Linked DNA regions of Drosophila melanogaster. The main gene of each other region encodes a partner of the protein of the gene in region 2 in a complex. Each region holds a gene or a part of one and is shown on either strand. Other genes may lie near its edges. The genes, in order: ttm3 and Tim17a1.

Region 1 (3,451 bases), on a different chromosome or scaffold from region 2:
AGTTTAATAAAATAATCTGGACACATGGCAGTCAAGCCTTTCAATAATAATTACAATATAGATTTTTTAGATGTTTTTGATATAATGCGCTTCACGGGTAATTATATCTGCGACCCTCAAGGATTTCTTTCAATATATTTATCTCTACAGAGCTCTTCATCTCCATAAAAATTATCTCATGCCGTACTTTCGAGTTAAGCCGCTGCGCCAATGTCCCTAGAATCTGTATGCTGAACCTTCTAGCTTTTATAGTTCCGGAGATCTCGACGTTCATACGGACAGGCGGACAGGCGGACATGACTAGATTGACTCGGCTATTGATCCTTATGAAGAATATATATACTTTATATAGTCGAAAATGCTTCCTTCTCCCTGTTACATACTTTTCAACAAATCTAGTATACCCTTTTACTCAACCTGTAATGGGTATAATTGTGTTTAGCTTGGCAGTAAATCTAGTAGACCAATTTAAACTTCGGTAACGGATATAAAAATCGAAACCTCTGTGGTTGTCGAACTGCCAAAACAATGAAAATAATTAAAACAAATAATAAAATGTAAAAAAGGTAAACAATTTTGAACATTTAAATTACTAGATTAATGACTAGATTTTTTAGTTTCCAAGATCAAGACGTTACTACAATAGATATAAGGTGCATAAACGAAAATTTATTTGATTGAAGACCCTCGAAGGGAGCGTCCCAATAAAGTTAAGTTCCACTGACGTTCACTAGTTGGTAAATTCTGAATGCTTTCCTGACTCTGCTCCTGCAGTCGACGTTGGTTGTCCTTAAACTGTTCCATGGGGTCCTCGAATTGGCGATAGTATCGCAGCACCTCCCTTACATCATTTACTTGGTGTTCGGCAATCAACTGCAGGAAAGCCGTGAGATCAAAGAGCTGGACATCATCATCGTTACCCAGCCACTTTGTGAGCACCAAGCTATTATCGGGATGCAGGGGAGTGGTATACGGATCACAGTCCACCACTATCACACGGCTCAGATCCCTGTTAAGATAATCGAGGTTCTTGGTATGCTGACCCTCTACCAAGTCCGTGGCACCTCTTACTAGCCGATATTTTATGTAGCCATAGGGATCTAAAGCATCCAGAAGGGGGAATGCGGTCATACCTTGTTCAGAAGTATATATCACAATTTCAAAATTTCGACTGCACTGCTGAAGAAAGTAATCCACACCAGGCCGCTTTTTAAACCGCCACCCCGTCTGATAAGTCCAATCTGGATGCACCAGTACGTCTTTGATTTCCAGCACCAGTGAATAGGGAGGTTGTATATACGGCGGTGGGACAACATTTGGCAGCAGCCTTGCCATCTGGGGCTCTTCCATCATTTTTTCATAATACTGAAGTGTGTGCCACATCCTCATTATGTACTGGCGGAACCAGGGAAGCTGACTGAACTCATCTTCTATGGGACCCCGATGGTCTTCCTCGGGCTTGCCCAGCTTATAGATGGCCCACATGACTATACTGAAGAGACTCCCCAACACAACACTGTAGGTATAGAAATTCTTGATTCTTCTTAACTTTGGTGGTGAATAGTTTTTGTCGCATCTCTGTACTGTTTTTCTAGCTGAATTCAGGCATATTTTCTCGCATGGACTCAGAAGACAGGTCTTCTTTTTACCGATGTAGCCAATCGACTTATTTAAAGTTCCAAACCAAACAATTTTATGCATTTGAGCTAGACGTTATTTTTTATTGACTTAAGACACTAAGCACTAAACACCGAATCTAACAACTTGTATATACCCAAAGTAAATACCCTCGTGGTAATTATATATTTAATAAAAACAAGAGGAAACGTTACAGTCAAACATTATTTTAGCATAGAAAAAAAAAACATCACGCAAGGGTAAAAAGTAGTGACGATCCCAACCAGAAACTATAGTTAGAATTTAAACAATTTAAATATATACATATATTTAAATATATTTTATTTAAATTCGACACTTTTTATCAAAATATTTGTTGCTCTCCGTTGAAGAAAGAAACTTCCGCTGCGTCTATGACGTGGACATGATCTAAACTTTCTAGCATTTATTGTTTCTGACATTTAGACGTTCAAACGAACAGACAGCCGGGCAGACATACTGACAGATATGCATGGCCAGAATTCCCGTCGACTTAAAAAATCTTCGGAAGAACGATCAAACCCCCTCAGAAGAGCCCATCGCAGCCCTCTCTTTCCTTGTCGTTGCGATTGAGCGGTCGATGGAACGTAGGTGGGACCATTTATCCTAGGGCCAAAATTAATGTTACCTTGGACTAGACGCATACAAAATTTTTGCTGACTTTGTTACCTTTTGACTACGAAAATTGGAAGGACGGTTGCCGGCCCTCTAATAAAAGCAGCTGTTAGCCCGATTAATACGTACGTAATATGCTGTTTGATTATAATTACCGTATCCAACGCTTTATTCGTCACTTGCTTTTTACTTCGTAAAGAGGTGTTTTCTTTTGATTTACCAAATATGAACAGCACTCACATCCCTTTTGAATATATAATTACTAATTTGACTTAATCGTAAATCGGAACGTACATACATAAGCAGCTCAGGTGGACGCAGGACACCAGGTAGAGGAGCTGGTCGCAATCAAGCAATGCCAGTTCAGATAGTCGATTTGTCATAAACAATCGAAATCCATTTAAAATTGTACATGCAATTCCGCAAGAGCCCAATTGAGAGACAGAGAGAGAGAGAGAGAGAGAGCGACAGAAGCTGCCAGATGCCGACACAGTCAACACCTCGTAAAGTGCGATGGGCGCTGGAAGTTTGGGCTGGTTCACTTGTCAGCCAATGTGCCACGTCCTGGCGTGTCCTGCGCTTTCGAGTGTGGCTCAGTGTGTGTTTCTGCCCATTTACCGAGACCTGTGCCTGTGTATCGTTGATATGATAATTGGCATGAGGTAATAATCCACTTGGAAACGTTGGCAATCGTTTGTATCGCAATCACTGTCAAGCCGCCTGCGTCTGCTGCTCCCTTGTGCTGGTATCCAGTGTCCTGGCGCCATAAAGTATAATTTTCCCAACCGTGTTCTCGTTGACTATTCGGCTCCTGGTGTTCCTGCTGGTCCTTTCGTCTCTTCCGCCATTGAACGGGCGACATATTAAATAACAATGAACTGCAATTGCCCAACGAGTCTCGTAATTCGTTTGTAATGCGTGCAGACGCACAGATTTTAAGCAGTCAGCAGGCACATGTCCTTCTGGAACTACAGTTCCACTTCCATTGCCATTTCCCCATCTTTCCTGCATCCCCATTCGCTGGTACCGCCTTTTTCTGCCGCCTGCAATACCCACTTCATTGTCATTGCCTTCGTCTATGTGCTATACTGGCTTTTGTCCTTCTCATGGTTCATAATTTCTGATTTCCTAGTTCAGCTCGTTAGCCAGTTAAATTTAATCACTTTTCAAAATTGGTTCG
Region 2 (3,823 bases):
CCTTCCAATTCTCTGCGCTCTGTTCTGTCTCATCAACTAGTTTAATTCTTAATTTTGTATTAATTTATGATTTTCTTTAATTATAATAAAAGATTCGAAACGATTTTGATAAGTGGACAACGGCATTATTTATTTTTTTGTTAATTTGATATAGCATTGAACGTTTAAATTGATTTATTTAAGGATATTATGATAGAATCATAAATACCTCTTTTCCAGGGTAGAGGTTAGATATTAATAAATGCTTTTTATTAAATCTACAGATCCTAAGAACCCTCTTTCAAATTGTATGATATTGTTCAGCGCTGCAGATATGAATATAAATCTGTTCCGAGTTTTGTTTTCCATACGATGAAATAATTGTACAAATTTGAATTATAAAAACCAAAAAAAAGTTCTGTTTCAAGCTGAGCCATTTGAAGTATAACACAAGAGAAAATGCTACAGTCGAGTTTCCCGACTACCAGATATCCGTTACTCAAGTAGTGGGATTTTTCTGGGATATCTATAGATTGGGAAATACATACATACATTGTTTTATTCAACCTTTAAAAAAATAAAGCCACAAAATAAAGTGTTTCGAACTTGAAATTCTGACGCCAAGAAGTATGCTATGATTTTGATAGTAGATAAGCTTTAGTATCTTATGCGTTTTGTATATTACGATCATGAAATGAACGGTGAAAACTAGTACATGCACACAATTTTGATGAGTGATTGTTGAGAACGAAAGATTGAATGAAAATGAAAACCCTTTTTTTTTGGGCAACACTAGAACATCTGGGACAGTTTCACCAGATCCAAGAGGGAATAAAATGGCTTCTGTTTGGAATCTCGCTCGTGACTCTTAACCGGAATGTCCTGAAGTAAATTTGGTTCCCTGCTCGCCCGACATTTGTCCAGCACCCGTTCAAACTCCGCCAGTGCGAAATCTTGAGTGGATGACGCTCTCTTCGGATCAATAGTCTCCAGTATGGCCTCCCACTGGGCCCGCTGCGGCTTGATGACTATCCCTGCACCTTTGTCGGCTGCATTAATGGTGGCCACTGCTGCACCGGCTCCTTCAATCATGGCCAGCACCAGACAGCCCACCAGAGCACTGTTGGCCATGGCCCGAATGCCATTACGGGCTGCCAATATCCCACCAGTGGCCGCTCCACTGAGTATCGAGTTCCAGGCATCCTCCCTCTGGCGATAGTGGACCAGGGCGCAATCCACTGTGCTGAAAGTGGCACCCCAAACGGCAAAGCTGCCGGCAATGGACGGCGTTCTCATCTTCACCAAATCAATGCCACCATAAAGTCTGCGCTGCAATCCGGTAGGAGCGTTACGGAAACCCTTGAGGAACTCGAACAGCGAACCACCGATGGTGCCCATCATGAAGGCACATCCGCAATCCTCCACAATCCTAATGGGACACGGCTGGCGATTGTACTCCATGGCCTTGACTTACTATATCAAAACCTTTGGGTATACTAATATTCTTCAAGTGGCTTCAAATCAAAAACTTGTGTTTTGGAAATAGACTTTTGAGTAAACATAATACGAAGTGTTTGGGATGCTGACGTTTGCGTCCTTTCTAGATGTTTACAATTTTATGATATTAAATTTGTATTTCAAAAAACGGATTAAACTTTAAAAGTGAATTTTTTTTATTTAACTATTGAAATGTCTATCGAAATCCAGCCCAGTCTTAATCTTTAAATATATAGTTTTTTCTTGATAACCGAATAATAGGTGTTTTATCAGTATTTCGGGTTCATATATTCAGTTATCGAAGTATTTGCGGAACTCCTGGCAACCAGCCCAGTTTTCCTCCCAACCGGGAGTCAGTTTCTTGGCATTCTCGTACCAACGTGCCACATTGGCATACCGCTTGAAATCGAAGCCAGCCACATCGAAAGTGGAAACGGTGGCCAGAAAGGCAATATCCGCCAAGCTATAATCCCCTCCAGCGCTGTAGGTCTGCCCCTCCAGGAATGTGTTTAGGAATTCGAAGGCCACTTCGATCTTCTTGTAGTTCTCCTCATTGGCGGGCTTCTTTAGGAAAATCTGCGGATAATAGTACTCGGAGAAGCTCTTATACAGCGTACCCATGTCGAAGTACAGGCGCTGATTGATCAACGCCTGCTTTTGCACATCCTTGGGGAAGAGCTTGTCGTCCTTGCCGTACTTCTCCACCAGATAAACCATAATCGCCCGCGACTCCCACAAAGCAAATCCATGGTCGTGCAGCGTGGGGATCGTGTGCTGCGGATTGATTTTCAGGTATTCCGGCGTGAATTGCTCCCTAGCTCGGGTGTTGATAATGGTCTTCTTATCGAACTCCACACCCAGTGCCTTGGCTGTCATCAGAACAGAGCGGCAGGGAGCAGATCCGGGTCTATAGTATAAATCCATCTTACGCTATCTCACTTTCTGAAGGGATCTCTGGAAACTGAATAAAAAAAAAAACGAACAGCTAATCACTTTCTCATTTCGTTCGCTGAACCTGGTTACGCAATCTCTATAATAAATTCATCAAAAACAACAAAAGTATACATACCTACGTGGTAATCAAATATACTCGGCTGCTCTGCTGGAGTCAAAACGCGACAAACGACTGAAAAATTCTCTGCGGTTTAGTCGTGTTTTATAAGAAATAGAAGATAACCACAAAAAATACTCGTAGAATGTTTCGGGGCTGATGGATCAATTAGGTATAGGTGATAATAGTCAGCAATTTTTGGGCTAGCACTGGACACAAGAGAAACTTCTGGAAGAGCAGAGTGCAGCTGTATTACCAATTTCATTTCGTTTAGCTTCCCGTTGAACTAAACTTTACGTAAATCATGAATTAGTACAGGTGTTTGTCCAAAATTACCATTTGAATTTAATTGTTTTGGCTATCGCTAAAATCACGGCAGGTGGCATTTCAGCAAACCGACACGTAGCAATATCTTATCGCTATCAGAATGTTTGGAGCAGAGGATCCTCTGCCTTATCGCTGTACAAAAGCCAACAACTCTTCGTTTATTATACTCATTGTCATTTCACAATGTCTCACTCTTTATTCAAACAGGTCGATACAGATTAGATTATTTATTACAGACCCGTCATTGTTTGTTCAAAATCGCACCCAGATACAATTTCTTGTAGTACTCGCAGCCCTCCCAGTTCTCCTCCCAGCCGGGTATCACTTTCTTGGCATTGTCGTACCACCTAACCACTTCCGGATATTTACCAAAATCATATTCCGATATTTCAAAAGTGGAAACGGTGGCCAGAAGCGCAAAATCGGCCAGAGTCAACTTGTTGAGGGCGGCGTACTGCTGACCCTTCAACAGAGTATTGAACATAGCGAAAGCATCATCGATCTTCTTGAGGTTATCGGGATCAGCTGGCTTCTTCACATCCTCGAACAACTGGGGATAGTAGTAGTACACGTAGCTCTGGTACAGAGTACTCAGATCGAAAAACAGGCGCTGATTGATCACGGCTCTCTGCTGGGGATCCTTGGGATAAAGGGAGCCATCTTTATCGTACTTCTCGGCCAGATAAATCAGTATAGCCCTCGACTCCCAGATGGCGAAACCATCGTCAACCAGCGTGGGAATCGTATGCTGAGGATTGATCTTTACAAATTCCGGCTTAAGATGCTCGCCGGCATCCAGATCCACCTGCTTCTTGTTCAGCTCCAATCCCAGGGCACGGGCCGTCATCAGGATGGAACGGCAAGGTGCCGAGTAGAGCATATAGTAGAAGTCCAACATGATTACTCGCTGAGCTGTAAAATCATACTGAATTAGTTTACGTCAAATTGTCCTTATATACTGTTGTTCCC

The links.
Region 1: Tim17a1 (region 2) and ttm3 share a complex: the UniProt entries of both Drosophila melanogaster proteins name them as parts of the TIM23 complex.

What each region holds. Positions count from the first base shown.
Region 1 is NT_033779.5:22,077,938-22,081,388, reverse strand, and holds ttm3 (tiny tim 3), read right to left. Parts: upstream 1,758-3,451; 5' UTR 1,702-1,757; coding exon 670-1,701; 3' UTR 651-669; downstream 1-650. UniProt on the Drosophila melanogaster protein: Essential component of the TIM23 complex, a complex that mediates the translocation of transit peptide-containing proteins across the mitochondrial inner membrane.
Region 2 is NT_033777.3:12,363,146-12,366,968, forward strand, and holds Tim17a1 (Tim17a1), read right to left. Parts: upstream 1,536-3,823; 5' UTR 1,441-1,535; coding exon 772-1,440; 3' UTR 522-771; downstream 1-521. Other genes in the region: GstD10 (glutathione S transferase D10), read right to left, coding at 1,768-2,400; GstD9 (glutathione S transferase D9), read right to left, coding at 3,096-3,752. UniProt on the Drosophila melanogaster protein: Essential component of the TIM23 complex, a complex that mediates the translocation of transit peptide-containing proteins across the mitochondrial inner membrane.